Linked DNA regions of Drosophila melanogaster. The protein of the gene in region 3 purifies or fractionates together with the protein of the main gene of each other region. This does not show direct contact. Each region holds a gene or a part of one and is shown on either strand. Other genes may lie near its edges.

Region 1 (6,197 bases), about 15 Mb from region 3:
GGTCAAGCTATGCACAAAAGATATAAAAAGATGTAGATACTATACTAGTTTGCTATATTCGAGGGTGGATTGTTCCATGCTAATTTGGCGAGGGCCACAATTGGATCAGCAGTTGGGGGGGGGCAAATGGATTTGTCATACTTGACTGTGGAAATCAACGGATGAGTCATCATAGTCCATGCAATTGTGGAAAAACAACTAAATTCAATTAGAGCTAAAACCGAACAATCGATATGAGAGCGAAATTCTAAAATCCACCTAAAAGTATGCCATTTAAACTTTCATTCGCCATCTGTAGATCTATTTTATAATTTTTTGCTATGTCTGGTATTCTAATTTATGGATTATGATCACGACCTGTTTTTTTCCCTTTCAAGACCCAAAAACATATGGCATCCGCTGATCTTTCGAAGCCGACAATAATTAATTAACAAATAAAAGTAGCAGAAAATCCCAAAAAAAAAGAAAAAGAAAAGCGACAAGTTTTGCGTTTGTATATATACTTTTTCGTATCTTCATGTAAACAAGCCAATTGCTGTTCATTGAAAGTGATATCTATGTACGTACATATACATATGTATCTTTTTTAGCATTCCCCGTCTGTTTGAGGTTGATTTAATCAGCAGCAGTACACCAAAACAGCTGATAATAGATAGGGGGTATATGAATATAATATATGCATTTACAGGGTGCTTGTGCTGTGAATACCGATGATGATTACTTAATGTATTCAACTCATTCATGCCCTGCCTTTGTCTACCATTCGAATCTAATGGGGGGAAATGTACATATGCGCATTTATAATGCTTTTATTGGGAAATTGGAAAATGTAGTGCGCTCCACTGACTGATGATCGCCTGTTTGTAATTGTTAATGAGCACTTGTGCATTGCTCCCGCACTTTGAACCCCCCTCGAACTGTGATTCTATGCTATAATTTTATGTGCGGTGTTCAGTTTCAAAGAGGGGCACATGTTCTGTGTTTGCTTTGCTTGCAGCACGTGCACATGCGCCGTGCCGGGAAACTTGGATCTTCATCCTGCCGGAAGAGGCGTCTTCAGGCTCTTCGAGCTCTATTTACCACCATCGTTGTGGAGGAGGGATGTTTGTTTGGCCGGACCAAGTGGGCACTTGGTTTGGTTTCCCACTTGAACGGCTTCATTAGTCGCAGAGATAAATCAAAATCTGCAGTTGATTTACTTACCAGATGGTCGGCGCTTATCGCAGTGATTTATTTGGCTGAAGAGGAAATATTACAAATAGTTTTTAGTAATTTCGAAATTGTTTTATATCTAAGAGGATCTTAATTGTGACAAGCTAAAATGATCGATGGTTTGGTATAAAAGTGAACAATGAAATACTAAATTATTATTTGAAGTCATTTCAAACTGATAAAAGCAAATAAGTTTAATAACAATCGCTCTCATTAATCAATAACAATGACTTGAACTAACTACTTGTTTGTATAATTAGTTAAGATTCAACTAGAGATTTCCATTATTCATAATGTGCCATTTGAACGGGCATTGCATTCAGTGCTTTAATGGGAGATTGCTATCAGACCTGAAGATCAAATCAATTATTAATCTTTAATCCTGTGGATTACGATTATTTTTATTGTGGAATATTCTATTCTATTTCTAATAGTAGTAGCAACATACTTAATTTTTCTAAAATGAGAATTTATCTTTACCTCTATTATATACCATTTGTAAAACCATGGATAATAAACTTCTATATCCAAAGGGTTGCACTTGCTGCGCCACAGATGGTGCTATTAGCCGTATCCATGAAGTTGTCGCTCTCGTTTTCACTTTTCGCTGGAGTCCGTGCTACATGTTTCCTTATTTTGGGGTTAACTCGGCGATGCACCACATTGTATAATGTTCCGTGCGTTGGGGTACTTCGTGCGTTTTCGGGTGCTTTTCATTCTTTTCACTCGGACTCGGATACACCCCGAAGATACTTACACTGGGAGGTGCCCTCTCACAGATACTCTCTCACACACACACGCACACACACACACATAGAGGCCTCGTCGCTTTGTAGCCGTCGCTTCGCCTCTTTTTTTCGGATTTCAGATTGTCGTTGCCGCTCGCGTATTTTCATTTTCAGTCAGTCTCCTTGGGCTGGTGCAACTGTGAAAATGTGCGGAGCGTGTCGTTTGTGAAAGCCTTGATTATTTTCCATACATATATATATCTATATGTATTTCTTATTTTTCGTTTCACATTTCGCTTAATTTGTTTACGCGCCTCGTCGTCGGTTCGTCGTTCCGTTCGTCTGGTTTGAATAATAAACTCGTAGATACTTTGTGTGACGCAGCAGCAGCAGCATCCCAATCAAAGTGGAATCACTTAAAGGGCTTTAATTGTGCGTGAGCCAATCCCCACAGAATTATCTGAAAGATACTCGTTAGATTGGCCATCTTAAGTGCATCGTCGGTAGACGAGAGTGTCTGTGTTTGTGTACTTTCTTTAATGTCTGATACGAACAAAGGAACCAAAGTTCTCTTTGACAACGAACTTTTTGGGATTATCTAATACGCAATCCGTTTTTGGGGTAATGTAATGCCAGCATTTAACAATTATTTATGAGTTTTCTGCACTCGAAAATGAGATCATCTGTAGTCGGCGTCTGTATCTAATCGGTTATCAGGTTGTCAGTTGCATTGCTACCAGTTTCAAGGCTTATCTTATCAACTAAAATTTGTTGGGCATGCCAAAAGTGTTTGTTTAAGCCAAATAAAAGCGTTCAGCAACCGGTTGATAAGCTCGATTTGCCTGTCAAAGTAGCAACTGTGTATCTGCATCTGCAAATAGCTTTGACCTTTTTGCCAAAACCAAAAGACTTCCGCGTCGATATGCACACATGCGTTTGATGATTTCGTAATTACAATCGGCACACAAAATAGAAACAACATCGACAATGCGGCTATATCTGTAACTGCATCGCCATCGTGGAAAATGCAGATGCATTTTCTTGGGCTGCCTCATTTAATTGGCGGGCATGGCGTACTCCGCCAAAAGAGTTTTCCCGCTGCCATTTTCTAGGCGCAATGTAGGCCAACAAGTACGTTGAACTAAACTAAAATGCTTGCCATCTCGAGAACAATGAGGAAAATATATATACTTGTGTTTACAAAAAAAGGGCTTGCCTATGCGACACCATAAGGGTTTGAAACTATATCTATAGGAACCAAAAAGAAAGTAGCTGAACAAATAATATATTATATAAATATTTTATAAACCAATCTTGCTATTAAACTTTTATTGATTGCAATTGCCGACATTAGAGGCCAATGTAATGTGTCATTTGCCACGCATTTCCCTTAACTTGTCCGCAATGCCAACACCTAAACAAACATTTTTGTTGGAGTTCAAAATGTGATTGAACCTGGTGGGGGGCTACACCTTGCAGCTCCAACTGGGTGAAAAAACTGTACTTTCGCATCGGCTACATGCGCTGTTTATTTTTGCCCCGGCCGCGGAAAATTGCAAGGTGCAAAGAGAAATCCAAATGAGTTGCGTGCACGAAATCGAAATGCATCTGCAATTTCCACACAATATTTTCGCAGTGCGTCGGCTTCTTACTTGCGTTCGTACCAAAAACATTATGTTTATGATTTCAAGAACTTCATGGCTCTTGGCAAATACAAGGCAGCTGGAGCGTGGCCATGGACAACTTGCCACCATGTTTATCGGAGCTGCTTAAATGCCGCTTCGATGCGAGAGCACTTTTCTTTTCCACCATGTACATATACTTGTGCGTACCACCGCCTTGTGGCAGAGTGTATGTTGGTTTGGTTCCTATGTATTTTGGCCGCTTGCCAGATGCGGCAAAGCCGTTTGGCATTTTCCGAGCCAGGTCCTTGGTGCGCCTGAGCACTCCTCAGACTTTCCCTTTCTCGATATTTGAAAAACGCAGTCCTGAGGGATTCCTTTTCGTGCGCGACGCTTTCCCCGGTGGTTGGTGGCCATTTTGCGATCCTTTGTCTGTCATCTTACACTAAGGAAAAAGAGGTTTTATATATCTCCTGCATTTATTACTACTGGCTTACCACTTTTGTAGCAATTTTGCTATTGCTATTTAGTTGCATTTCCCCTTTGTAAAATATATAAAGATATTGTATCTTTTGCTGATGTCAGGCATCAAGTATGCAGATATATCTCCTATAATCTCATTATGCCAAGCACCTGGTGGATCTAGATATTTTTCTTTGGCAAGCTCATGTGCGCTCTAGATAGATTTCAATAGCAAACATTATGACACATGCTCGCCAAAATGTCGGACGACAAGTTAATATTAATGAACTTGGCTAAGTTTCTTTTCGGCCAGTGATTTAAATTTAGACACCTGTGGCGAGCCTGGCCAAAGCTACACGGCTTCAAAAGCCCTCTGTTTAGCAAGGATGGCCATTTCCGTTTTTTGTGTCGGAAATTTGATGCCATAAATTAGGCACCTTTAGGGTTTTGGGGGCTTTGCTGCTAACGCTTTTGCTAACGAGCCACGAATGCAGTTAATTTGCGCGTCAGGAAAGGCCAAAGGAATTGCATTCCGAGTTTGGCCCAAAGCCGCAGGGGCATAAATCGATGGTGGGAACACAGCTTTTGTTTATGCCACATTGTTAGTTTGGTGGGTTAATTTTAGACGTTTTTCGTCGAAACTCCGCATTAAAGTTTAGATAGAAGAAATAACATAAAAGTCCCGAAAACCGAATGCAGAAAACTCGTAAATTATTTTTATATGCTTCTCACACCGAAAACATATCAACAGACACAAAACTTTTTGTGGGCTGAACAGTGTAGCGCATACACACAAACAATCTGTGTTATTTTTATATATAAAACTTGGTCCATGTGTCGTATAGAGAAGAGAAAACTTACGCATCAAGCATAACAACATGTATAAATAGCCATCAAAGACTACGAAGAAATCAAAATGAAAAGTGCAGCATAGAAAAGAAGAACCGAAAGGAAAAATCCAAACAAAATGTGCAACCAATCAATGGAGTTGAACCGCTTAAAAAAAAGAGCCAATAACTAAAAATACAGCAATACAGAAGCAGCGACACTGTCCCAAGAACATCTTGGCAACATCGCAGCGTTGGTCCGCAGCGGACTGGCCAAAAATAAATCGGCAGCAACATACGCCTGCAACAACTAGATGTTGTTGCTGCTGCTCGCCTTCATCATGAGATTCGTAGACATTTCCAAACGCTGTGCCGCCTGCTCCAGGGCCGGCATCGATTGCACCCACCACAGCGGCCAGAGCAATCCGCAAGCCAGCGATGCCAATGGCAACCACACGGCCTGCTGGCAACATGTCGCCGGTGGCACGAGTAACAGCAACAGCAACAGCAGCAGCACCAGCAGCGGCTGCGACAGCAACAGCTCCTCCAAGGAGAACTACTATGTGCCGCAGCAACTGCAACATCAGCGGCAAAGGGTTGCCAAGCACAGCAAACCTGGCAACATTGGCGTTAGTCCGCAACAACTGGAGCAGATACGCTTCTATCAGCGCATGCAGCAGCAGCAGTTGCAGCTGTTGCAGCAGCAGTTGCTGCAGCGTCGCCGCCTGCAACAGCAACTGCTGCAACAGGGCGTGCCTTCGCCTCCGGCAAATGCAACAACTACAACAGCGGGTCTTACCTGCAATCAACAGTATTTGCGACAGCAGCGAATGCAACAGCAACAACTGCAGCAGCAGCAACAGCAGCAGCAGCAATATGTGGACAACAACAGCAACAATGACAATAACAACTATCTGAACAACTATCTGAACAACAGCATTAACCAGCGAAACAATGGTAGAGTTTTGGGCCAAGGTGCGCTCTTGATAAGTCTTTAATTAAAACCAATACTACTTTAAGTGTCTAAGATATAAAGAAAGTTTAAGTTTAGCTTAAACCTTTCTAACTACTGAGAGATTACTGAGGTGCTTTAAGCCTAAAAGTTAAGATATAAAGTGGGTTATTTTTGTAGGAAGTCTAAACTATGACTTCTTTTCAGGTATATTATGACTCTATCATTACTTTCTTGGTGAGCATCACAATGATTAGCAATAAAGAGTAAGCAAGTTTAGCCACTGTAGTTGTGGATTAAAGTTGTTTCCTCGTAAAATCGTCACATCTTTCTCAGCTCAGCCCTGACGCAACCACTTGAGCATCTCGAGACGGGCTTTTGTAGTTTCAATTAA
Region 2 (6,396 bases), on a different chromosome or scaffold from region 3:
GCTGCAGGTGCAGCTGACGCAGCTGGCCGTTGCGGGCAAAGAAGTTGTCCGGAAACGATAGCAGGCGGTTGTCGCTGAGGTCCAGCACTTGAAGATCGGCTGCCGTTTGGAAGAGCATAAATGGCAGAACGCTCAGCCGGTTTCCGGATAGATAGAGGCGCTCAAGCTTCAGGGCTCCAACAAATATGTCTCGTGGAAGCTCAGTCAACAAATTTTGGCTGAGATTCAGCATGCGCAATTCGCTCAGCTCGCCCAGGAAGCGCTGCGGTAAGTAGGTCAGTTCGCTTCTGTCCAAGTGCAGCTCCTGCAATTGCTTCATGTACTGCAGGTTTAGCAGGCTGCAATTGCTCAGTCGATTACCGCTCATTTCAAGTACTTTCACGCGCCGCACGGCCAGCGGAATTGCCCAATGAAGGCACTCCAGGCGATTCTCGGCGAGATTGAGCCGTTCCATATACTCAAAGGAGCGCGGCTGGCGGGTGAAGAGCTCCATGAGCGTTTCATCTTTAAGTTCACTACTCTGCCAGCTGAATTCCCTCAGACTTTCAAGCTGTGGCAGCTTCAGGGGATTACTGCGATCCGCAGGTACATGGGCCAGCATCAGCTGGTTGTAATTAATGTGCGAGCTTCGCTGGGAGAGCAGTTCCTGGTTAACTCGCCTCAGGTCCACATGCTCGCAGTTAAGCTTAAAAACATTGCCCGTGGGATCGACGTGACCGACCGAAGGAAGTTCATGCTCCTCCACCTCTACGCTCTCTGATCCGGCGTCCGCCGCATCCAGCCACAGACCCTCATCACTGTCACTATCATCTAGATCCGAGTCGACGGCATGGCCCACAAACGGTAGGTGGAACTTGTAGCCCAGCAGTGAGAACTCGTGCTCCTGCCAGGTCCTTATCCTGGGCCTGATCTGTGGACGATGTTGCTGCGGGATTTGGGCCAGGTACGCCTCGGCACTGCTGTATGTGGCCAGACAGTGGGTGCTGTCACCACTGATGGCCGCTGCGGCCTTGAGCCCGACAAACAAGGCACACAATATCAAGGAAATCTTCGATATTGCTTCCATTTTTCAGTATGTAATCTCAAATATTTGTACGGTCGCATAGTACACCTGTAAGATAAGAGGGTTTTCAGAATATTATTTATTGCTAAATATATTAATTTTATATTGTGTTATAATCAACTATGTTCACTTTATATTTTTCGTACAACGGTACAAGCCATCTCGAAGTTTTTGGATGTCTGGACACTAAATTAAACCAATTCAGGTTTTTGGTCATTATTGATTTTCGCCTTTACCCTTCGGGAGCCCAAAAAATATGTGTCGCAACTCTCATTTCAGCGGGAGAAGGGAAAAGTGGGATTGGGCAACGGACAAAATCAATAAGTTAGGTAAATAACATAAATAAAACGGTGGTCTAAAGGAGGCGGAGGACGCGACGTCCAGTTGCGCGTCCAAATGGCGACGCACAGAAATGTTTGGAACCGTAAAGAGGTGGAACTTTTGTAGTATTCTTCTTTTAATAATGCATTATAATAGTGTCTGTCTGGATGTGGACAAGTTCCCACTTCTCCAACGACAGATTTCCATTCGCACGCAATGAAGATTAAGAACTTTAAGGCATGCAAGGAACTAAAAAGTTATTATAATGTAGAAGTTTTAATAGAAACACTTAACAAAAAAGTCTGTAGATTAAGCGAATACTTTAGGTGAACATGTAATTGTTTTTGATACAAATAAAGATTAAATCTAGCTATAAATTGCTCAATTATTTTATATTGCTTTAAATCTAAGGTTTTTGAGATCTTAAAGTACTCGTCAAGTTTTATTGAGATAAATGGTGAGGAAAACAAACGTAGTCCGCAACGCTGTGAATCAGCAAGTGGCCATTATAAGTTAGCATATATTTAAATTTTCCTTAATGCCGCCGATTGCATTTGTTTATAAACAGAAATATCGAATGAAATGCCGCCCAGCAACCACAACCTGCACCAACAAAGCAATTACGTACAATATATGGTATACTTCAGTTGCCAAGATTATTACTCAATGGCTTTCGGATAAAAAGACGCGAGAACTATAAAATAATTCATTGTATAATACAGCCCATGTCTCGAGTGACTGACCCCCGATGCCACGTAGAATATATTTACACATATATAGAATATGGAAGGCGTAAAGCTTTTCTATTTGTTGATATTGACAACGGTTGGTGGCCAGCTGTTGGGCCAAAGCTGATAAGAGCAATGAGCCCATAAAACTGATAAGCCGGCACTTTGCGAAAAGTGATCAAGATGGATGGTCGCAGGGGTATTCCATTTAATCTCAGTTCCCAAAGAGCTTGAATCGCTAAGTAAATATGACTGTTGATGGCGAATATTCAACACACCAGCAGAAATCTGGCCAAAACAAATGCAAACAACAAAAATAACGAAAAACCGATACAGAAATAGCCCAGCATACAGACGTAAAAAAACACGAAATACACATGCAGAAATATGGCTAAAAAAAAGTGCCACGAATCTAAGACAATAATTAAATTATGTATGTACATATGTACGTTTGCCTCGCAGAGCGAGAAAGTAGTTGCCAAATTGGTGTGGTGCTACCAATAAATTAGACTAATCAGCTGATATGCCAGTTAGCTGTATATTTTTCCATTAATTTAAATGTCAATTTCGTTAAGCCAAAGAATCGGAGCAGACCGAAAGAGACGGAGATAGAGTGGGTTGCATAATCTGTCATGGAATCCGAGCTCAAAACAACCGTTTAACTGGGTATACAGTGCGGGTACATAATGTACATGCGATACATACACACAGACACACGCACACACGCACACACTTGCAACACCTGGTGACATGTGAAAAGCCGCTAATGAGTCGGGCTGACAGTAAAACGGCCAATTAGCCGAGATTCCCTGCTGCCCCGCAAGTGGAATCGTTCACCAAATTGAAGATTTACTCGCCGCTCCGCCCACTCTCATAATTCATTCATCGCTTTTCGCCTCCTTTTTACCTTGGAAAAACTCATCTCAAGTGAGTGTGTGCGTGTGTGAGCACATATGTACATACATATGCATGTAATGTGCAAGGTGCTGCAGCTTAAGATGTTGCCAAGGGCAACGATTCGCGGCTCGGATTCGGATGTAAATCGAGAAATAACGGGAGTATCTCATTCCAGGTAATTATGAAGCCACCGAAACTTCTGGTTTCGCATTTTTTTCACCCTTTGTGCCTGAAGCAGCCGTTTCAGCTACGCACACACTCGCATCTGTCGAAAGTTTGAACTTTTCACTGGGCTACATAGAAAGAAACATCTATGTTTTTTACCCCAATAAGCTAGTCACTCAATAAATATGTCTTTTATGACATATTGTTTAATTATTATCTCACCGTTGTTTATATTATCTGCATCTTTTCGCGTCTTTTTTCGTCTGGCTTACAGTGTGGCCGTAAAAGAACCGTTGAAGTATACTCATACGCATTAGAAGGTAGTCGGAAAAGGCGTTTGAAATATACCAAAAGCCAGTGCTGTGCAATGATAAAATTTAATATATTTATATTATCGTTATTCTATAAAATGGAAAAGAATAATGAACTTATTCAACTAATATAGAGCATAAATAAAATAATTTTAAAGATTAGCTTATAACAATAGCTTAATGGCGGAGGGCCACTCTCTTCCGCCCGCTGCACAGCTGGTCACACTGAGGGTGCAATCACTTTTTTTTCGTGATAAAATTAAGGAATCTTGAGTTCATCGTTGATAAGCAGCGATCTGATAATTGCCAGCACAGCAGCTCGGATAACTATAAAAACAGACTCAGCTGGATATATAATAGAGAGCCGTAATGCCCCGCCGATCGGCTGGCCGCAGTAACCTTACGATTCTGACGCTCGCTTTGCCGTCGTGGTGTTTTGTTATTGGAGCAGAAAACATATTCCAAACGAGATTATAAATAGTCACGATGTGTGTCGCAGTTGTCGCGGTCGTTGGGAGGATGAATGTGCAATTGCAGATGCCGTAGAAGCAGCGCGCTCCAGTTTTATCCACAGAGACCCGATCTTCTAGTGCCCGTGCAAACCGGGAAAAAAACAACAACAAATTAGGTCGACATTTCGGGCACAGGTAAGCCTAATTTCAGTCGAACAAAATTACTTGTTAAGTTATAAGCTAATTATGAGTTGGCTGTTTCAATTAGGCTGCAGAGCCAATTCAAGCGGACCACGGGCCCAAAGCGGAGTCAACAAAGAAGCGGGACAGAGAGACATCGAAACATTGGTTTCAACACCACACGTTCAAAGTGAAGGTCAACGTCACAACGACTCGAGCGGCAAGTCTGGCGGCCGAAAGACAAAGCCATCCGCCGTCACCAGCACAACCTCCAACGCCACCGCCGCCGCCATCGGTAGTCTCCAGATAGCCAGCACCATGTCTACCACATCCTCCGAATCCTTTGTCCGCGGCCAGCGGCTTATGCTCATCTTCCTGGTGGCCATGTGCATCGTAGTTGCCTGCGTCCTTAGCACCGAAACCACCATGCCCACGCAGAACATGTCCAATAAGGAGCGGGCGGAACTCCGGTAAGTCTCAGCTTCTCGTTTCCTTGTATTTCCTGACCAGGGCAACTTCTGTACGTCTTATTTTTATTTATTTACCAAACTAAGAAAGTTTCAGAAACACTATTAATATTTTAATGTACTCTGGTTTTACGAGGGATCTATGCAATTTGTTTAAATGTAACCCATATATGCGTCAGAAACGACGAGGTCAAATTAGCATAACTCGTTTTTAATCATTTATGGATATACATTTAAATGTGATGCTTATAAAAACGAATTATATATCCATGACTTTCATATTAAGTCATATTAAAACGCTTAAGCTTAAAAGTTGTTCTGAACAATCACATATGTAGAAAGTAAATTCAAGTATACAATATGTTCCATTTGCTTTCAGGGAAGAGGCTCGCGATATGTTCTATCATGCATACAACGCCTACATGCAGAACGCCTATCCAGCTGATGAGCTTATGCCGCTCTCCTGCAAAGGACGGTACCGAGGAGTGACGCCATCACGTGGCGACATGGACGACATCCTTGGAAAGTGAGTTCAAAAACCTAAGGTTTGGAGGGATTACTAACATTGTTCTTATTTTTAGTTTCTCCATGACTCTGGTGGATACTCTGGACACTCTGGTGCTCCTGGGCGATTTCACAGAGTTTGATCACGCGGTGAAGCTAGTTATCCGCGACGTTCAATTCGACAGCGACATTATTGTGTCGGTGTTTGAGACGAACATTCGAATGGTCGGTGGCTTGCTGTCGGCGCACATCCTGGCGGAGTATCTGCAAAAGCATGCGGACACGATGCATTGGTACAAGGGCGAACTGCTGGAGATGTCTCGCGAGCTGGGCTACCGTTTGCTACCGGCGTTCAACACATCCACGGGCATTCCGCATGCGCGGGTTAATCTCCGCCTGGGCATGAAGGACCCGATGCTCAAGAAGTCCCGTGAAACGTGTACGGCGTGTGCTGGTACCATCCTTCTGGAATTTGCTGCTCTGTCGCGTCTCACCGGCGATCCCATTTTCGAGGTGCGAGCTCACGCCGCCATGGATGCACTGTGGAAGCTAAGGCACCGTGGCTCCGATCTCATGGGCACGGTACTTAATGTCCATTCGGGCGATTGGGTGCGTCGCGATTCTGGAGTCGGAGCTGGCATCGACAGTTACTATGAGTACCTGTTCAAGTCGTACGTCCTACTGGGTGACGACAAGTACCTGGCACGCTTTAATCGCCACTACAACGCAGTGATGAAGTACGTCAGCGAAGGACCCATGCTACTCGACGTGCTCATGCACAGGCCACATGCTAAGTCCAAAAACTTCATGGACTCGCTTCTGGCATTTTGGCCGGGCTTGCAGGTGCTATCGGGCGATCTGAAACCAGCTGTGCAGACACACGAGATGCTCTATCAGGTATGTAACATCCTTTCCAAAGCCACCAATGAATGTGATTTGATTTACAAATATATTTAAACATATTTCCAGGTCATGCAGATGCACACCTTCATTCCAGAAGCATTTACCGTCGACTTCCAGATCCATTGGGGACAGCATCCCCTGCGACCAGAATTTATAGAGTCCACTTACTTCCTGTACCGCGCCACTGGCGATCATCATTATCTGCAGGTTGGCAAGAAGGCTCTGAAAACACTCCAGCAGCATGCTAAGGTATCTTGCGGCTATGCGGCCGTCAATGATGTACGGACTGGCAAGCATGAGGATCGCATGGACTCGTTTGTGCTCTCCGAGACGATCAAGTACCTCTTCCTACTGTTCTCCGATCCCCAGGATCTGATCATAAACGTCGATGAGTTCGTCTTCACG
Region 3 (9,155 bases):
TAGGCTACTTGTCCAACTTTTTTAAGGGCTATAAGCCATATTTTAGGATGTGATCTTAGCTAGTGTACTTTCAAATTTAAAAAGGAATTGTAATTTCACTTACACCTTATGACAATATTTAAAGGCAATCTTAAATTTGTATTTGGTAGTTAAGCTTGTACAGATGTACATAGTTGTTGGTTATGTCTTAACATTTATTTTGAAGCAGCTTTAAACGTTCCTCTATTATCCTGCGCATAACAACTTAATTTGGAAGACATTTTCAATGCATCTGTAGCTGAACTCCAGAACCCAGTGCCTAAGGAGCCAGCCGTTCGTACACCCAACCATCCTCTCCTTTGTGAACCAGTTTGCTGTCGACTTCGGATTCTACTCCTCCACCTCGTCTAAAGCGGATGCGATCGTGGAGCCGATCGGTCTGACCCTGCCAGAACTCAATGAGGTCGGGACGCACCAAGTAGCCACCCCAGTTGGGCAGCGGCACCTCGCCATCGGGACCCAGTTCTAGCTTAATTGCCGCCTCCACGTCGTCCAAGTAGCTGCGCGACGGAATCCGCTGGCTCTGCGGACTGGCAGCGGCTCCGATTTGGCTGGCTCTTGGTCGCTGGTGGAAGTACTTGAGGGAGTCTTCCACCGAGATCTTCTCAGCCACGCCCTCGATGCGGACACTTCGCCGCAAAGGGAGCCAGTAGAAGGATATGGCTACATAGGGATTGGACTTGATGTCCTCAGCCTTGCGGCTACCGTAGTTCGTGAAGAAGGTGAATCCCTCGGCGGTGGCTTCTTTAACCAGCACATAGCGATTGGAAGGCCTACCCTCCGCACTCACGGTAGCCAGGGCGGCGGCATTGGGCTCCAAGATCTCCGGGGTTTTCAGCGCCAACTCCAGCCAGTCTCGGAATACACAGAAGGGATTCTTCACCTTGATGTTATCCTCCAGGAAGGCGTCCTTGCGCTCACAGTACTTCAGACGAAGTGCTAGTTCCACAGAGTTACCAGCAGGCCATTTATTACAACATAATATTAGGTTATTAATGTTACTTACCCGAAAGTGGCACCTCCGAGGCACCTTGGCTCATCCTTCGAATTGTTTGCAGCAACTTCACTGTTTTTGTGGGGTTTACCTACTGATTATTGCCGATTTCGCAGATAAGATTTACACGTACTTATTCAAGGTCAGATATGAGCTTTTCTGCGGTACTTGAGCACCAAAACAATAACAAAACCGGTTAGAGAATTTATTGCAAAATGCAAGACTTGTTTGCGCTTAGTGTAGCCAGTCCCACCTTGTGTGATTAAAACCGCTTTTTAACGGTATTTTTTGGGTATACAAACACGGTTACTCCGTGCGCAAGTAGCAATGTTAATAGTATGTTATCTGGAAGCTGGTTAACAGAGCTAGATGGCGCTAGTGTTGTGGTACTTTTGGATTTAGCACCAGGTGTCGCCACGTGGCATTTTATGAAATCCTCAATAGGTGGCGATGAACTGTTTTGTTGCTAGATGGCACCACTGGGGAAATAGTAATTTGACAATAGATGGTGCGCTTGGGAATATGAATTTTATCGTTAGGTGTCGCCCAGAAACTAGTATTTTGTCCATAGGTGTCGCATAGGTTACCTTGCGAGTCTTAAAGAGATTTTAAATATATGCACAACTTATAATAAATATAAATATAAATATACAACTTTAAGAAGTTGTGTTTCTTGCCGGAATTCTGTTCCTTGTGGCTTGCATTTTTGAAACGCCTATAAAATTGCCTAAACGCCAAGCTCAAAAAATACTATTCGATTCGAAGTCTTGTCAACCCTGGCATTGCGAAAAATGTATACAAAAACAGACAGCGGCAGCACGTGTGCGTGACTCTCAGCTCGGTGGCTTTCTCAGGAGGGGGTTGTTGTTTTGGTGAGCCGCAGGTCCTGTCGGATCTCCCGAGCGACCCGAGTACGTATATCATACGCTCGGCTCTGGGCTTGTACCCTTGCGACATGATGACATGCGGATAGAGTAAATCCAACACGAACGGCTGCTGGACGTGTTAGCCGTGAGCTGCGAGCGAGTTAAATCGAATCGAATCGAAAGAAACCGAAAAGCTAAAAAAAGGAAGCTCAAACCAGAAATCGTTGCGACAGGCGGACGAGCGGACAGACAGACTGACAATCAGGGGGCCACATGAAAACACCAAATATAATTAATATGCCACGGCTGTGTTAATGCTGCGAATAGTTACCAATTTCCATAAGTGATTGCCCCGTCGGTTGAGTGCGTGCAGAGAAAAGTAGGTTACGGCGGAAGGAATTTTGAGGTCGGACGGTCGGTGGCTCGTGGAAAGCGTTCACAAATTCTTCGTGTGCATGTGTGTAGGCCGCTCGGTGCCGAGAAAATGCAGTGCGAGTGCCACAAAGGCGACAAAGGCAAAGAGCAAATGGCATGATGACATATAGCAAATGAACGAAACAGCCCATTTCCCAATTTCTTCAATTCATACTCTCCAGCCAGCAGGGGAAAAGTGATATTTATACATCTGTGGTCTGATTTTTGCACAGGCCACAGTAACAAACTCACACACATACACAAAGACACCACTAACACAGACGGACGAACGGTCGGACGGACAGACGGACAGACGGGCGGGGGAACAAGCGGACGCACAAACACAAACGACAACTATATAGCAATATATGCCCATTGAGTGCCTTATATCATTTGATAATAATCCACAAGGTGTCTACTATGCCGGACAGGAGCTATCCGGCGTTGTTGATCTCAGCGTCGACGCCACGAAGCGCATTAAAGGTGAGCCCCCTAACGTATACTACGAAAACGGTGTCCATGACTCACGGGGCGTATGAGTGATGCGGTCACTTGGCATTTCGGTGCGGTGTGGCGACTCGGTGCATTTAAATGCACGAAGGCCACGAGCTAATGGCAATATTAAAATGTATCTCCCCCCGGACGCCGATTCGAACGTGCTCCACTATTAATCGTTGCTCTTGGCGCCCTGCCCCCAAAAATATGTGGCTGTTGTGACTGTCACTGTGGAATATCCTGCAGTTGTTGTGCTGCTCTTGGCATGCCGCCATTTTCAGTTATCCATGAACTCGTTAAAGGCGTGGTTATTTGTTAGCTTTCCCTTTTGTGGAAATTCGTTTACACTCGCAAAATAGTCGCTCAGACTTTTGAGTTTAGACTAACTTTGAATATTTTGTACTCTTTTTAAACTATCATTTAAATATATAGGCATTGTACAACTTTATAATACATTTATTCTAAGCAAAGGCCATACCTACTGCATTTAATTTAAGCAAGTCTATTTTATAAATTTCCGTCTTGTTACACCCAAATTTTTTGACAAAAAAGATTCATTTATAGATTTAGATTATTCACATTGCCATATATCCCTACTTTAAGTAGGCCGCCTGTAAATTCGATGAGTCGCTGCTCAGCGGTCTCCACTTGCAATTCAATTTGGCAATTCTTATTCACAGCGGGTGGGGCATCCTTGCAGGCATCCACGTCACCGTCAGCGGCTATGCCAAGATACGCTGGATAAAAAAGGGATATCCGCGCGACAGCGAGCGCGCCATGTGCCGTGCCTACCGATCGTATCTGTCCTCGCGGTCCTACGTCCTCGGATCCTGCGCGAACAACTCGAGCATCGACTGGCCGGCCGGCGAGTACTCGTACACCTTCCACGTGATTCTGCCCGACAATCTGCCTACGTCCTTCGACGGCAAGTATGGCCAGATCCACTACGAGATCATAACAACGATCGAAAGGGCCGCTCGCCACCCGAAGGTCTTTAAGCTGCCATTTACCGTAATACAACCGCTGGACCTGAACGCAGATGCAATTTACAGGGTATGTGTTTATTCGACGTAGTAGGGTGATCTACAATAAAATGTTAGTATAATTTGTAGTTTGCTAACCATTTTCAACTTAAAAGTCTACATAGAGAGAACTTAAGAAATTAGTTAGGCACAGTGGTTTAATAATAATGAGCTAATAGAGTTTTTCTTACTATCATGATTGTTCTAAAGTATAACTAATCCACTGGGGTTTTCCAGGTTCCTCTGGAGATCCTCGATCGGAAACGGTTCTGGAGCTTCTGCTGCCCCACAGGCCCGCTGACGGTGAAGTTCTCGACGCCTTACTGCGGATATGCGCCCGGCCAGAAGATCCACTTCGTGCTGTACATCAACAACGAGTCCTCGATCGACATAATCGAATGCGAGGTCAAGCTGAAGCAGGAGGTGAGCTACGAGTCGCACGATCCGCAGCATGAGTACCGCTACGACAAGCACCTGATTGCGCGGAAGCAGTTCGGAAACGTGCTGAGATGGTCGAGAAAGGTGTACCGTGGGTATCTCGACCTGCCGTCGATACCGCCCACTTCGGTGAAGCCCACGTGCCCCATTAGCGTTAACTATTCGATTAAGATCATCGTGAACCCCACGGAGTTTCACTGGAAACTTAAGCTGAAGATTCCGCTGACCATCGGCAGTATACCGATCATGGATGGTCCGGAGGCCCTGTTGCGTTTCAATCGCCAGCAGCAACAGCACCAAGTAGTTAGTCAAAATTTACAAATGTCGACGCAGCAGCGTCAAAGGGATCGGGATCGTGATCGTGATATGAATGTGGATCGCGAAAGAGATCGAGATCGAGATCGGGACCGGATAAGTGCCTCAGTTCAGCAGCGACGTATCAGCAGCATCAACAACAACAACAACAATCATGGACGCCTTGTGGGCGGACTACTGCCGACCAATAGCAATATGAATATGATAACGAATGTCAGTCCCACGCCCACAAGCTCCACGCCCTCATCAACGCCAACAACTGCCGCCCTCAGGCCAACGGCCATGCCAGCGATTTTGGTGACCAGTGATAGCGATAATCCGCCGGACTATATACCCATGAGTAAGAATTATTCAGTTTGCCCACCCAAATGGAATAATTGAATGCTCAGAAACTTTTGTATTTAAATACATCAATATAGTACTATATTTATGTATATTGTTGTGCAATAAAATAGGCTCTATTAAAACTCGTTTCTTTCAGTGCCGCCATCATATGAAGACGCCATGGCTCTAAGTGAGAAGTTCAGCGATGACACTGAGTTCTTGACCAACGTTAGCATGAGCAGCATTTTGTCCGCTCAGGCTGATGTTACCACAAGTGAGCCCTTTAAGCCGCGTTATCCGGTCTATTACGATTATGAGACACCGACCATACCGCCCGGTAGTGATGATTCCAATGAATCCGACACATAAACCACCCATCAAAACAAAAAACCAAAAATTGTTTACCAAAAAAGCGAAAGCTACAAATGAAAAATGATCCAATCAATTGAATGGCTGAGTGGCTTTTTCTGTGTTCTTTTTTATTCCTTTTCCTAATAGTAGTTAGAGCATTTTCATAAATGTACTTTAATATGTTCAAGTAATGAGATCAAGTGCGCAGAGATACAATTCATTCAACTTTGTCCGCCTAAAACCAAAAAATGCAATTTAAACACTACAATTTGTACTTGTCTGATAGAAAGGATTTTGAAATCCAAAGAAAAAAACGTTGGAGTCGTAAAGTTTATTGTTGTCCTTGATCCGAGTGTCTGTTAAGCCTATCTCATTTAAAATGAATCTCATTACTTAGTTGTCAATATCATTTTAATACATTACACTTTATTCCTATTATATAAAATTGTGTATCTAAAATAATTGCACGTTTTATTCCATTACCCTTTTATATATATAAGTATACAAGATATTTTTACCAACTTAAATTAATAAAAATTGTTTTTGATTCTTAATATATATATTTTATACATTACCTTCCATAAAAACATATATTTGTTTTTTATTGTATCTAAAACGATGAACATGTATGCGCCTGAACCAAAATCATTATTAATATTAAATTATATCGAGCCGTTTTCTTCTTCTTTATTATGGCGTCTTTTAATGTTTAAGTCAAAAACATTTATCGAATACCAATTAAGAACGTTTTATAGATTTTTAAAGCTTATCTTAACTTTTTCTACTTTCCTAATATGCATTTCTCTGTTAATCCGAGCAGAAATAATTTCAAAATGTGCTTAACTTGTAAATTTATTCTCTTGTTACCGCCCCGAAACATGCTACATTTTGTACCGTCCATTCACGATCCCCTTTCCTTCGAAACCCGAAAACCGTAGAGACGCTCTACGATGAGTCCAGTTCCCGGCTGCGTCTTACACTCAGCTGCCAGGACTCGGCGGCACCGGAAACGGATGAGGATTTGGCCCCGAACACAAGAGGAGGAGAGCCCCCTTCTTGCGAAAAGAAATGAGATGTCTTTGGACTAAGCGATACGGAAAGAGCTGCATCAAATGTAAACCAATAAGCCAATAAGCGATAACACTTACATATTTAATCGAAATCAAAATACTATAGAATGGAAAATGAAACCCAGTGTGCTAACATGTAGTAGAACTTAAGTCTGGGCGCAATTTAAATTGAAGGTGGCAAATCGAGCCATTTTTTATAGAGCCAAAGCAGAATGGGATATATTTTGGAGAAGAAAGCTATTTAGGCCAAAATGAATTTGATTTATTTAACTATTTTATCCTCCCTTTCTTCTATAGTCCCTATATTTACATTTAAATTTTCTCTCTTCTCATTCTCGTTTTCCCCTTTTTAACTAACCTTATACAATTATTTTTTAAGTATTGCTAATTGTAAGCAGATTGATACTTGATACAGTGGTCGCTGGCTAAATGTATGTGAACAATGTAGTGAGAAGTTAGATGAAATCATTTAGCTCGTAATTTTAACAAAATCTGCACAATTTTACCAAACGGAGAGGGGAAATTAAGCGCGAAACTAACATTTTCCAATATTGAATATTGTATTGACTTTTTCTGTGTATCTATGAGAAATTTACAAGCAAAGATTAGCCAAATTGTGTTTAGTTTTTTATTATTTAAAATCATCACATCATCATAATCTTTAGGTGTCTAAATGAGATATTGTCGAACTAATTATATATATACAAGTGTCTCTTGCTCTAGTTTCTATACAAATTAGATTGTGTTGTCTCACTATATACTTTGTACTTCCTCTTATTTAAGCGCCAGTCTAACCAAAAATCATATAAGTCTATTTCTAAGTCTTAACTGTCTTCAATTCGATTTAATCCGATTCAATAAAGCAAAACAAGCAAAATATATTACGTATACCACAAAAGCTGTAGACACATTTACATCCTGTACACGGTATAATCAGCAAAAAATCTGAGTCGGCTTAGCTGGACCATAAAGCTAAATTTATATATTGTTATCGCTGCGGCCAAAACAGACTTCGGGCCAAATTAGCAGTAAAACAGCAGCCATTTCTCATTCAGACGACTCGTGTGGAAACAGTTTTTCAGACTTCCAACGGCTTCGGATGAAACCTCAAGTTGTCACAGTCACTTGTTTGCCGTTCGTTGGCGAGGTCACAACTAGAGTCTCAGTCGCGTGAATGCGAATTTTCAGAAAAGCACACATATATAAAAAAGCCACTCCAAACCACTGAAAATGCCAATAAATTGCGAATTTAACTTATCGCGTGCCGCTGCCATTTATTACAACGGCGAGCAAATTTCGGGATCACTCACTGTGACAGTCGACGGGAAAAAAAGTTTCAAATTAGAGGGTAAGATGCCATTAGGCAAATGAGTTGGTTTAGTGATTAGATAGGGGAGAGTGCTGCAAATAGATGGGCAATCTGATATGCTGATCGTGTTGTTGTTCCCCATTCGGCAGGCGTAAGTGTCACTCTCCACGGAGTCTCGACGGTCCACTGGCGGGAGTCACTTCGAGGTCCGCCGGAAATCGAACACAATGATAGCACCGGAAACCTGGAGTGCCCCAAAGTGGATTACAACGGCAGCAAGGTGCACATAAATGAAACGAAAAAGTTAAACGAAGTACTTCAGCTAGAGAATGGTACCTTTCGATTGGGTGACTTCAATTTTCAGCTGCCTGAAAATCTGCCAGCCACCTGTAGACTTCCTTTCGGCAATGTGGAGTATGTGCTCAAGGTTGTTCTCGAAAGACGGGGAACACATAACAAATGCTTTCAGCAGCGATTGGTGATACGAAAGTGTGTGGAACTCGCCGATCTCAAGCCCCAATATATGGAGACTGCGAACATGGGACTTACATTGCCGCGAAGTGTTTTTGTTCCGGGTCAAAGTGTAAGCTATGAAATCTGTTCCAAAGATGGAGTCCAGGACTTCCTTACGCGCTTGTGTAAAAAAATCAGCTACACTAGTCAGCAACCAAGTGCCAAAACCAAGAATGTGACACAAGTGTTGTCCGAGAGTTCGGAACTTAATGGCAATCTTCGCCTGCCTCTGACAGCCCCTATTATGAGTCACTCAGATCAGCTGGACCCTATACAAATCAGTTATTACATTGAGACATTCAACTCCTTGAATGCCCCAATCAAAGTACCCATTTTCGTGGCCACTGTTGCACCCCCCGTGAATTCCCAAACGGAATCGTCGCAACTTTGCTTCGTTAATATGGGTAAGTCCATACGCTGCCCATTAAAAGGGGCAACCAGTAATTAACTATTGTCTTCTTTAGCTCTTAGCCAGAGTGAGCTGCTGGGGCCAATTAATCAGTTTCTGGCCAACAGCTGTTCTCGGGAAATCGACGCCTTGGCGCTGAGCAAACATTGTGAACGTGAACGCATCAAGTTGCTAAAAGGCCCGAAGAGAAAAAAGTCGTACGTGCATTTAGCTTTGCAATACTTTTATAAGAAAGTACTAACCTGACACACGTGCAGAGTCTGGAATTTCAGTGCCAAGATATTGAGAATTGTAGAATTCACAATAATTGAACTTGAAATGCGATAAAGGAAAGTAAGCCAAGCAAATAACTGGATTCGATTATCGACTATTACCGACTATCAACGTACACAAAACGAAATTCTTATTTTTATTCTTCCCAATAAACTTGGGTTACGTATAGTACTAGCTAAAAATATATTTTTAAATATGCAAATATATTTCTATGTGAATTTGCCATTTTATGCAGTCCCTTTTCCCCAGGCAAATGGCTCGCTCTCATTATCGCAATTATGCATGCCAGATTAATGGAGTGAGTGCCCAAATAATTTCGAGGT
Region 4 (8,388 bases), on a different chromosome or scaffold from region 3:
ACTTGGAATAATAACGACTGCCCAGGCTACCTCGATTCGTATGTTTATTATAAATATAATTATGTCGTAGGCCAACGGTTTCGTTTTCCAGGCTAAAGACGAAAATGTTCGAAAATAATATTATTGACTTTGTTCGATGTTCTTCAATTTAATTTAATTTTTAAATGGTGTTAAAAATAATTAATTTCCTTTTATCTTTCAAATTTTATAAAGTCGATTTCTCTGAAACCAGGCTCTTTGATGTGATACTTACCGCGCTCTGCTTTCGAAACATCAACTACTTTGTCTCAGTTCGTTGACTTGCTTCGTTACAAACGTCTCGATCTTTTCGCTAAAAGATCTAGCTGACTTTTAGTTCTCCCGCGCTCTAGGTCCAAGGACCTCTATTTCACCAAAGACACTATGATAATTTTAGTAATTTATAAATTAACTAAACAAAATAATTTTAGTTTGGTATTATTCTAGTGTTGCTTTACCGTAAGTTGGCTATATTTAGACCAGGTATTCGGATACTTCATTTTTATAACAATTGCAAATATAGTGGTAAAACACGAAAAAATTAACAAAATATTTTTGCGGTTATACATAAATTTTTCAATGCAGAAATAATTTCTCAGAAATAATAAAATATTATATAAATATCAATATGAAGAATATGAATAAGCTTTAGAGTATTACTTATTGCCGTTTTATCAAGGGCTAAATAACACATCTAAATAAATAGTGCAATAGGAAAAGGAAAGTTTTATATTATATATTAAGGTTTAAAGCTAGGGCATAATCTATTAGACTAAAATTTACATTGTGTTCTGATCACTACCCACTTATTGCCATATATGTTGCAGGAAAGGTCTTCCGTTGATGTTTTTCGCCAGAATGCTATGGTACTTCCAATGAAGCTGAGTTTTTGTCAAGGGATCTACACGTTTGTCGACCTTGTGAAAGACAAAAGCCAGTTCTGACTGGATTAAAAGTTTGCATTTGTTTGTGCTCTACTAGTATGCCTGGCATACAGTTCTGTACAGTTCAAGTCTTCAAGTCGTTATGATATAGGACCACCTCTGTCGAAGGGAATAAATTAAGATCGTACTTGTCAATACTCCAACTAATTTTATTGAGTAAATCTAACAGTACTTAAGAGTAAGAGTTAAGATTCACATAATATGCTTATGCCAACAGAATTGTGTAAGACAACAAATTTTGGGTAAGTGGTAATGCTATATAGCCAACTGGACAGAACATGTTTATGCCAGTAAGTCGTTCACGACCTGAAAAACGATAGTCCGTGTTGGACTAACACTTTTACCTGAAAAATAACATTCTCCTGGCCGTTGAAGTGTTAAATAAGTAATTAAAGAAGATTGAATTTTAAATTTAAAACAGCAGAAATTCTTGATTTGTTTTTTAGTAGCCGGCTTACTAACTATACGCGTGACTCGTATAGAGAGAGTATACTAGATTCGTTGTAAAGTAACAGTGACATTCATACGTGCTAGAAACTAACTTGTGAGTTTTAAAGCAACACAAAAATTTGGACCAGCAAGAAATATGTCGTTCTATACGCAGGGAACTCTTAGTAGAAACTTATCAGCTAATTCAATGTAGTTATAAACCGCTTGCAAGATCCCTTTCTTATAAAAAGCATAGAGTATAATAAAATTCTGATTGTCTTAATTCGAATGTAGAGCCTTTTTCCTGTCTTTGAGCTGGCCCACCAATCCGAGAAATATTTTTTCCAATATATGTGTGGTGTGTATCTCATACTGTTTTGTTTTCAGACATGTATATATATATAACGCTAAAGTAAGATTAAAAACGAAAGGCGGGTAACAACGAAGACGAAAGAAGAATTCAGGAAGATGATGATCAACTGAGATGAGTTGAGTTAGAAAATGTTTTTTATTATATTATTTTTATTTATATTATCCAAAAATCTGCAGTAGCAATTATGTTGCGTCACGGCCCTTGAACGACGTGCAGAACACAGCCAGCCTTATGAGAAAAGTTTAAGCACTTGGATTGCAGTCGTTAAAAATTCTTGCTGTCAAACAATTAAAAAACTGTGACCTTATGTTACCCTTGCTGGCCATGTTTGTTTTAAATAGGCTTCTGTGTCACAATTATTTCTAACGCATGGCGCTCACTCGCTAGCAAAACAATCTAATGCAAAATTCGAATAACAAAACAAGAGAGAATGCTATATATTTCCCTTATATGACCGGAAAACTATGTACCTGTTACATATGTTTCAACGACTCTAGTATACCTTTCTACTCTACAAGTAACGGGTATAATTACATATGTATATGTACATATGTACATACATACATATGTATTACGTATTCCGTAAACAAATATGCACATTACAATATAAGGCGTTGATAGGCGAGGCAGATACATATATTTGTATTGATACCTGTATATTATGGCCTACATAGAAAACATTTTTGAGCTTTAAACACCAACTAAACTTTGAGTTTCTTTATTTTCTTTTTTTTTTAGAGCGGAGAGACTTTTGAACCCGACTTAAGCGGTGGGTCACGGCCATGCGATCACCTGATTTAATATGGAAGATGACTTATTAAAAAAAATTAAACAATAAAACTGGGCTAAGCACTTCTAGAGAGATGATGTGTATCCGGCTTAATGTGAAAATAAATGAGTGGTTGTGCAAATACGTCCTAACATTTGCGGGTTAGAGTCAGTACCCCACTCATGTAATACTGCGGGATCATTAAATATTCGGGCAGGGTGCGTTTACAAAAGGAGGTTGACGACGATGCCTGTGCTTGTGTGGATGCTGCTACTGTTGCCTGACGCACGATGTGACCAACCTTTCCTGAAAAAAATAGAATGTTATTTTGTAAAAAAAAATAACAATTTAATACAATTTGAAATGACTTGTATTCTGCGTTAACCTTACAAAAATTGTTACGCCCACTGGCTAAGTAACGGAAATCTGAAATTTGAATAAATCGACTATAAGATTCTCTCGTCATTAATTGACTTCCCTAAAGTTCTTAGGGTAGCAATTATGTAGTCTCACGGACTAGCCTAATTAAGGTCAAATTGCTTCCCTCTTGCGTATATTGGCAAAATTTCATTAGTTTACAATTAAAGAAAAGAACTTGTTTAGTGTCTCTGTGTCAGGGGTAACAATACTTACTAATCCATATATATATATTTGTATATCTATCGATATTCCAGAAAAATTATGAAATTTCGCGATCGCATTTCTACTAGCTGAGTAACGGGTATCTTAAAATCGGCGAAGCCGACTATAGCGTTCTATTTTATGATTAGAAAACATTTTTCTTACTGAATATGTAAATATGTAATATATCAATACCGAGTAAAACTTTTATATACAAACTATGAAAAAACAACTCTATAGAACATCTTACCCATCACGTTTGCGCAATGAAAGCGGTCATCTAGTTGCTGAAGGAGGGAAAGATCTCGACAACGTGCCCAGGCATTAAGTATGTCCCTTACATTTATAGGCACCCATTCAGTTTTGTCTGCAGCTTTCTGTTTGAAAAATGTGTTGCATTAGTTTAAAAAAGTGTGTACAATATGTATTTGATTTTACCCCCTTAAATTGTACAATAAGCTGTTGGTGGGTCGCCATCTCGATCAACCGTTTGAGCTTGCGATGGTTTCCCTGCTGCTTTGAGGCCTGTATTAATAGCTGCTTGAGATTGACACTACTTTCCGTCCGTCGCCGCTTGGCCAATTGCTTGAAATAGCCATGAAGTAGCTCCCTGTCATAGGGTACGCGCAGTTTATCTAGCGCTTGCACTAGGTGCTCCTCGTCGCACGTCTTTCCTGTAGACAGACTTGCCACCAGTGGCTCAGTCAGATAGCCTTGATTGAGGAGCTATTCGCGAGAGCGGGTAAATTCATTATACACAATTATTATAGCATGCGTTTACATACCTGTAGACCGTTGAAACTATTATCACACGAAATAAACCTTTGGTTGCAGGGTGGACCCAAATTGGAACCAGAAACAATTCCGGTTGCTATTAAGCTGTGCCAGCCGGCGAACGGACCTCCATAGCAGTATACTGGGGACCCGCTTCGACAGCGAACCTGGTCCGACCGTGAGTAAAGCGAAATACTACTGCCCCGACTGCCAGCTGATCTACGACACTTAGGACATGTTCCCGGGTCTACGACTTTGCCTATGGTATTGGCCAAGAACTCCTTTTCTAGGCAGTCTAAGCAGTTCTCCTCGGTTATTCCCAAGTCAAATTGGCCCGTGCACGAAGAAGACGTGGTCAAAGCCCCAACAGTCGCAGGAGCCACCAGTATAGGAGGCACTTGATCTTGCTTTGACTTCGACCCTGACTGTTGCTGCTGACATGTTGTTGCCCGGAAATCAGTGCAGCTGTAGCAACGTTCATCAAAGCTAGCTGATGTATGAGAGCGCCGCGACTTATATGAGGAGCTTTTAGTCATCACAGACGAGGTGTGCAAAAAACGCTTTGGCTTAGCACCAGTCAGCTTAGGCTCTGGGTGTTCGCTGGGGACACTAGTGCTGCGCGAAAAATTTGAGCCTGTGTGCAATGTGTTGGGCAAGGAATGAGCCTGATAAGACTTCACTGACCGAAAGCTTCCGGAGGATTCAGCCTGCTTTTCCGAGCCAATAACTATTAGCTCATTTAAATCTATGTCCACGCCACTTCCACCAGCACCAACGTCTTTGATTTTATCTAAATTCAAGCTGATGCGCGCGAACTTCTTACTAAGGCGTAGCTTTTGCTGCTGCATTAGGTCCTCCTGCGGAAAATCATCTATGGGCGAGCTGTGCAGCTTTCCTTCCTGCGTAGAAGTAGTTCCGCCTATGCTGTTCATTTGGCTATAGTCGCGTTGCATTAACAACAAATTGGCCTGAGGCTGGATGGTCATATCGGTGGTTCCGCCAACAAGCTCCAACTCTGATGAGGGGTCTGGCTCAAAGTCCATTTCAAGAAACTCCGTCTCATCTTCGCCGTAAATGAGGCTATCGCCTCCCATAGCATTCACTGGTCCTCGGCCAAGGTCGAAGTGTTGCCCGCCAACCCTTCCCGTGGCGATGATATCCATGTTCATGTCAAAATCAGCCCCTTCACCACGGTAAGCGTAGACGCAGTCGTCGGAGTTGATAGATATCTCCTCCGCGTTCATGTCGTTGTCGTCCAGCAAAATTATATCGTCGCCGTAAATATTGTCACTGGCATAGCTCAGGTTTTCGGTTGAGTTGTTTATGGAAGTTCGGCTGGAATTATAGCCACAGGCGGCGGCTTCAAAGGATGAGAGGGCAGCTGCTGCTAGCCCGTAGCTTGCCACGTCCAGATCCAGTTCGCAGTAAGAAGGACTTTCCACCTTTTTAAAGGATAAACAGAACATAACATAATCAACATAATTTTTTGTGCTTAAAGCGGCAGTCACTTGCCTTATCACCATCCTCTGCGGCCATGGTCGCTGCAGGGCACTCCTCTGCCTTTGCCCCGCCACCACCCACGGCTCCCACGACCTGCTCGTCCACCGCTACGGCCTGCGCTGATGTTGTTGCTGCTCGTTTTTGATTTGTGCCCATTGTATTTACACCGGTCCCACAATTGACTTGGCTGACTAAGAGCTCCGGGCGTCGCTCTTCAGCCGCATCAGGACCGAGGTGTCGGTTCGCACTATAATTAACGATATTGTTATTGTTACTCAGATGCAAACGCCAGTTTAATTTATCTAGCTCTCGAAAATCCATTCCATTTGCGGCCTGGGCAGTGTTACCAGATGGCATAACGGTAAAAAAAAACCGTCGACAGCCTCTTAAAATAATTAATGCCAAAACAATTATGCGACCTATTCACACAGCCCAATTGATGCGTGAACGTTAACAATTTCAATGATAAAATGCAAGGCAACTAATTTAAAGCTAATTGTTTCAGTAAAAAGATTATGCGGATTCTTTATTCTTGTATAATAAGTTTTCGCTGCAACGGAAGAGGATAAAAAGGCATATATATGATATATTTAGCAAATTAGATATAAAGTAGATAAAGATATAATAGCATTGTAGATCAATATAGCTGTAGCTTATGCTTACTATTTAAGTTAGTCTAGTATTGTAAACTATTCTACCTATCATAATAAATAAATAAATAAATAATTATATATGATATATATACCAGGTGAGCTAAATTTACGACAAATAGTATTCACCAGTTTTGATCTCTTTCAATTTATTGCTTTTCTGGACTCCTCTGACAATAGGCGTATTTAACAGCTAATACAAAAGAATTTCCACATATATCAGATACCCTTTCAATATATTGAATGAAATGGCAAAGATATGGTAAAATAATTTTTTGATCATTTAAGTTAGGCTTCCTATCGTATTTTAGTTAGGTTTAGTATCGATAGAAATGAGCAAAACGAATAATCGATTGTATCCTTCGGCTAAGCAGCAATATGGTCAATAGGTGTATTCCATTTCACATATGTTGCCACTGTGCCACAACCTTTTGAAATTAGTAAATGTCTTCTCGTTTTGCATATTCATTCTTTTCGATATATCCTAAATGCGTCCCTACATTACAAAATATTTATACCTGGAATTAAAGGCAGTCATCGGGATCACAGCATAAAGGTTCCCAAAATATTTTTTGGAGTCTATTAGAGCACCCAGAACCCAGAGTAAGGTGATTTTTGTTGGATGAGAACTAAGAATGTGCCGAACTTCTTGTGATGTGGGGTCATCGTGATTCTAGTTGCATGTAGCGGAAAGGGAGGAGAGGCTGCCAGCATATAACAGATTTTCCAGCCTTTTTGGAGGCGAATTGGCATGCTTTGAGAATAGCGAAAGCTTCGGCCGTGAATATGGAAAGCTCAAAGAAGTTGGGGTCGGAAAAATCGAATTTTGAAATTTGAAAGCTGGAATCGTTTGCCCATTTTTGCCCACCAATTAGTTTTTTTTGCCCACGTCCAGTTTTTGAGATATAAATTTTCGAAAAAGTTCGAAAATTTTCGAAAATCAAAAATTTCCCTTTTTTCAATTTTTTTTTTTAAATCGCAATAATATCGTTTGCCCACGTTTGCCCACCCTTTAGAATTTTGAAAAAATTTATACTTTATAAAATATAAGGCTTTTAAGTTTACCTCGGTCTAATCAGAGAGTAAATCGTTTGCCCATCTCTTAAAACCAGATATTATCAACAAAAAACTTTTGCCCGCCCAACCATTATTATCAGTTTTTATCGTTTGCCTACCCTTTAAAAAACCCTTTTTTTTCGATTGCCCACATTTAAAATACAACCAATTTCGTTAGCCCACCTCTTTAAAATAAAAATTTCCAATAAAAAACGTTTGCCCACCATTTAAAAATAAATAATTTCGATTGCCCACCTTTTAAAACTAAATAATTTCGTTTGCCAATCCTTTAAAATTCATTTTTAACGTTTGCCCACCCTTTAAAAATAAATTATTTCGTTTGCCCACTATTAAAACTAAATAATTTCGATTGTCCACCTTTTAAAACTAAATAATTTCGTTTGCCCATCCTTTAAAATTCATTTTTAACGTTTGCCCACCCTTTAAAAATAAATTATTTCGTTTGCCCACCCTTTAAAATATGTTTTTTTCGTTTGCCCACCTCTTAAAAATGGTTTTTTCGATTTTTCACCTATTAAAACTAAATTTGTACATATGTATGTAATAATTGTAAGATGTGGCGCCAATTCACATATTTTAGGATCGGCGGATAGAAGCACTTACTTATATGATGATGATGAACATACATACAATCATATAGACATAATATGTACATAAAAATATATATGCAAAAAAATTTATGTATGTTTATCAACACTCTCCAAGCTCAAGAAAATTCTGGAATAAAATATTTTCCATGAAATGATTCAATGATTAAGAAAAATTGATTTTACAATTCATGAATGATTAACACTATGGAAATATTGAAAATGTATGTAAATATGTAAATAACTGTTCTTTTGTAACTGTGCTTTTGGCGCCACATCTTACAATTATTACATACATATGTACAAATTTAGTTTTAATAGGTGAAAAATCGAAAAAATAATTTTTAAGAGGTGGGCAAACGAAAAAAACAAATTTTAAAGGGTGGGCAAACGAAATAATTTATTTTTAAAGGGTGGGCAAACGTTAAAAATGAATTTTAAAGGATGGGCAAACGAAATTATTTAGTTTTAAAAGGTGGGCAATCGAAATTATTTATTTTTAAATGGTGGGCAAACGTTTTTTATTGGAAATTTTTATTTTAAAGAGGTGGGCTAACGAAATTGGTTGTATTTTAAATGTGGGCAATCGAAAAAAATTTTTGTTAAAGGTTTTTTAAAGGGTAGGCAAACGATAAAAACTAATAAT

What was found.
Region 1: the proteins of CG2993 (region 3) and CG7029 purify together in Drosophila melanogaster (affinity purification with mass spectrometry, with the first as the bait; one large-scale study listed by BioGRID). This does not show direct contact.
Region 2: the proteins of CG2993 (region 3) and CG16974 purify together in Drosophila melanogaster (affinity purification with mass spectrometry, with the first as the bait; one large-scale study listed by BioGRID). This does not show direct contact.
Region 4: the proteins of CG2993 (region 3) and CG3651 purify together in Drosophila melanogaster (affinity purification with mass spectrometry, with the first as the bait; one large-scale study listed by BioGRID). This does not show direct contact.

Annotation. Positions count from the first base shown.
Region 1 is NT_033777.3:22,779,598-22,785,794, forward strand, and holds the start of CG7029 (uncharacterized protein), read left to right. Parts: upstream 1-2,130; 5' UTR 2,131-2,561; intron 2,562-4,869; 5' UTR 4,870-5,165; coding exon 5,166-5,826; intron 5,827-6,197.
Region 2 is NT_033779.5:13,188,508-13,194,903, forward strand, and holds the start of CG16974 (uncharacterized protein), read right to left. Parts: upstream 3,473-6,396; 5' UTR 3,397-3,472; intron 1,250-3,396; 5' UTR 1,185-1,249; intron 1,112-1,184; 5' UTR 1,067-1,111; coding exon 1-1,066. Other genes in the region: Edem2 (ER degradation enhancer, mannosidase alpha-like 2), read left to right, coding at 4,436-4,587, 4,964-5,110, 5,166-5,985, 6,058-6,396.
Region 3 is NT_033777.3:7,802,680-7,811,834, reverse strand, and holds CG2993 (uncharacterized protein), read left to right. Parts: upstream 1-1,820; 5' UTR 1,821-2,681; coding exon 2,682-2,796; intron 2,797-3,508; coding exon 3,509-3,861; intron 3,862-4,067; coding exon 4,068-4,923; intron 4,924-5,064; coding exon 5,065-5,244; coding exon of another isoform or gene 5,245-5,276; exon of another isoform or gene 5,277-5,840; intron 5,841-6,196; coding exon 6,197-6,330; 3' UTR 6,331-7,170; downstream 7,171-9,155. Other genes in the region: sgll (sugarlethal), read right to left, coding at 299-978, 1,046-1,105, 1,167-1,167; CG18268 (uncharacterized protein), read left to right, coding at 7,559-7,676, 7,787-8,554, 8,615-8,805.
Region 4 is NT_033779.5:22,119,233-22,127,620, reverse strand, and holds CG3651 (uncharacterized protein), read right to left. Parts: upstream 5,782-8,388; 5' UTR 5,750-5,781; coding exon 5,441-5,749; intron 5,371-5,440; coding exon 3,940-5,370; intron 3,881-3,939; coding exon 3,593-3,880; intron 3,532-3,592; coding exon 3,405-3,531; intron 3,337-3,404; exon of another isoform or gene 2,840-3,336; coding exon 2,682-2,839; 3' UTR 1,007-2,681; downstream 1-1,006.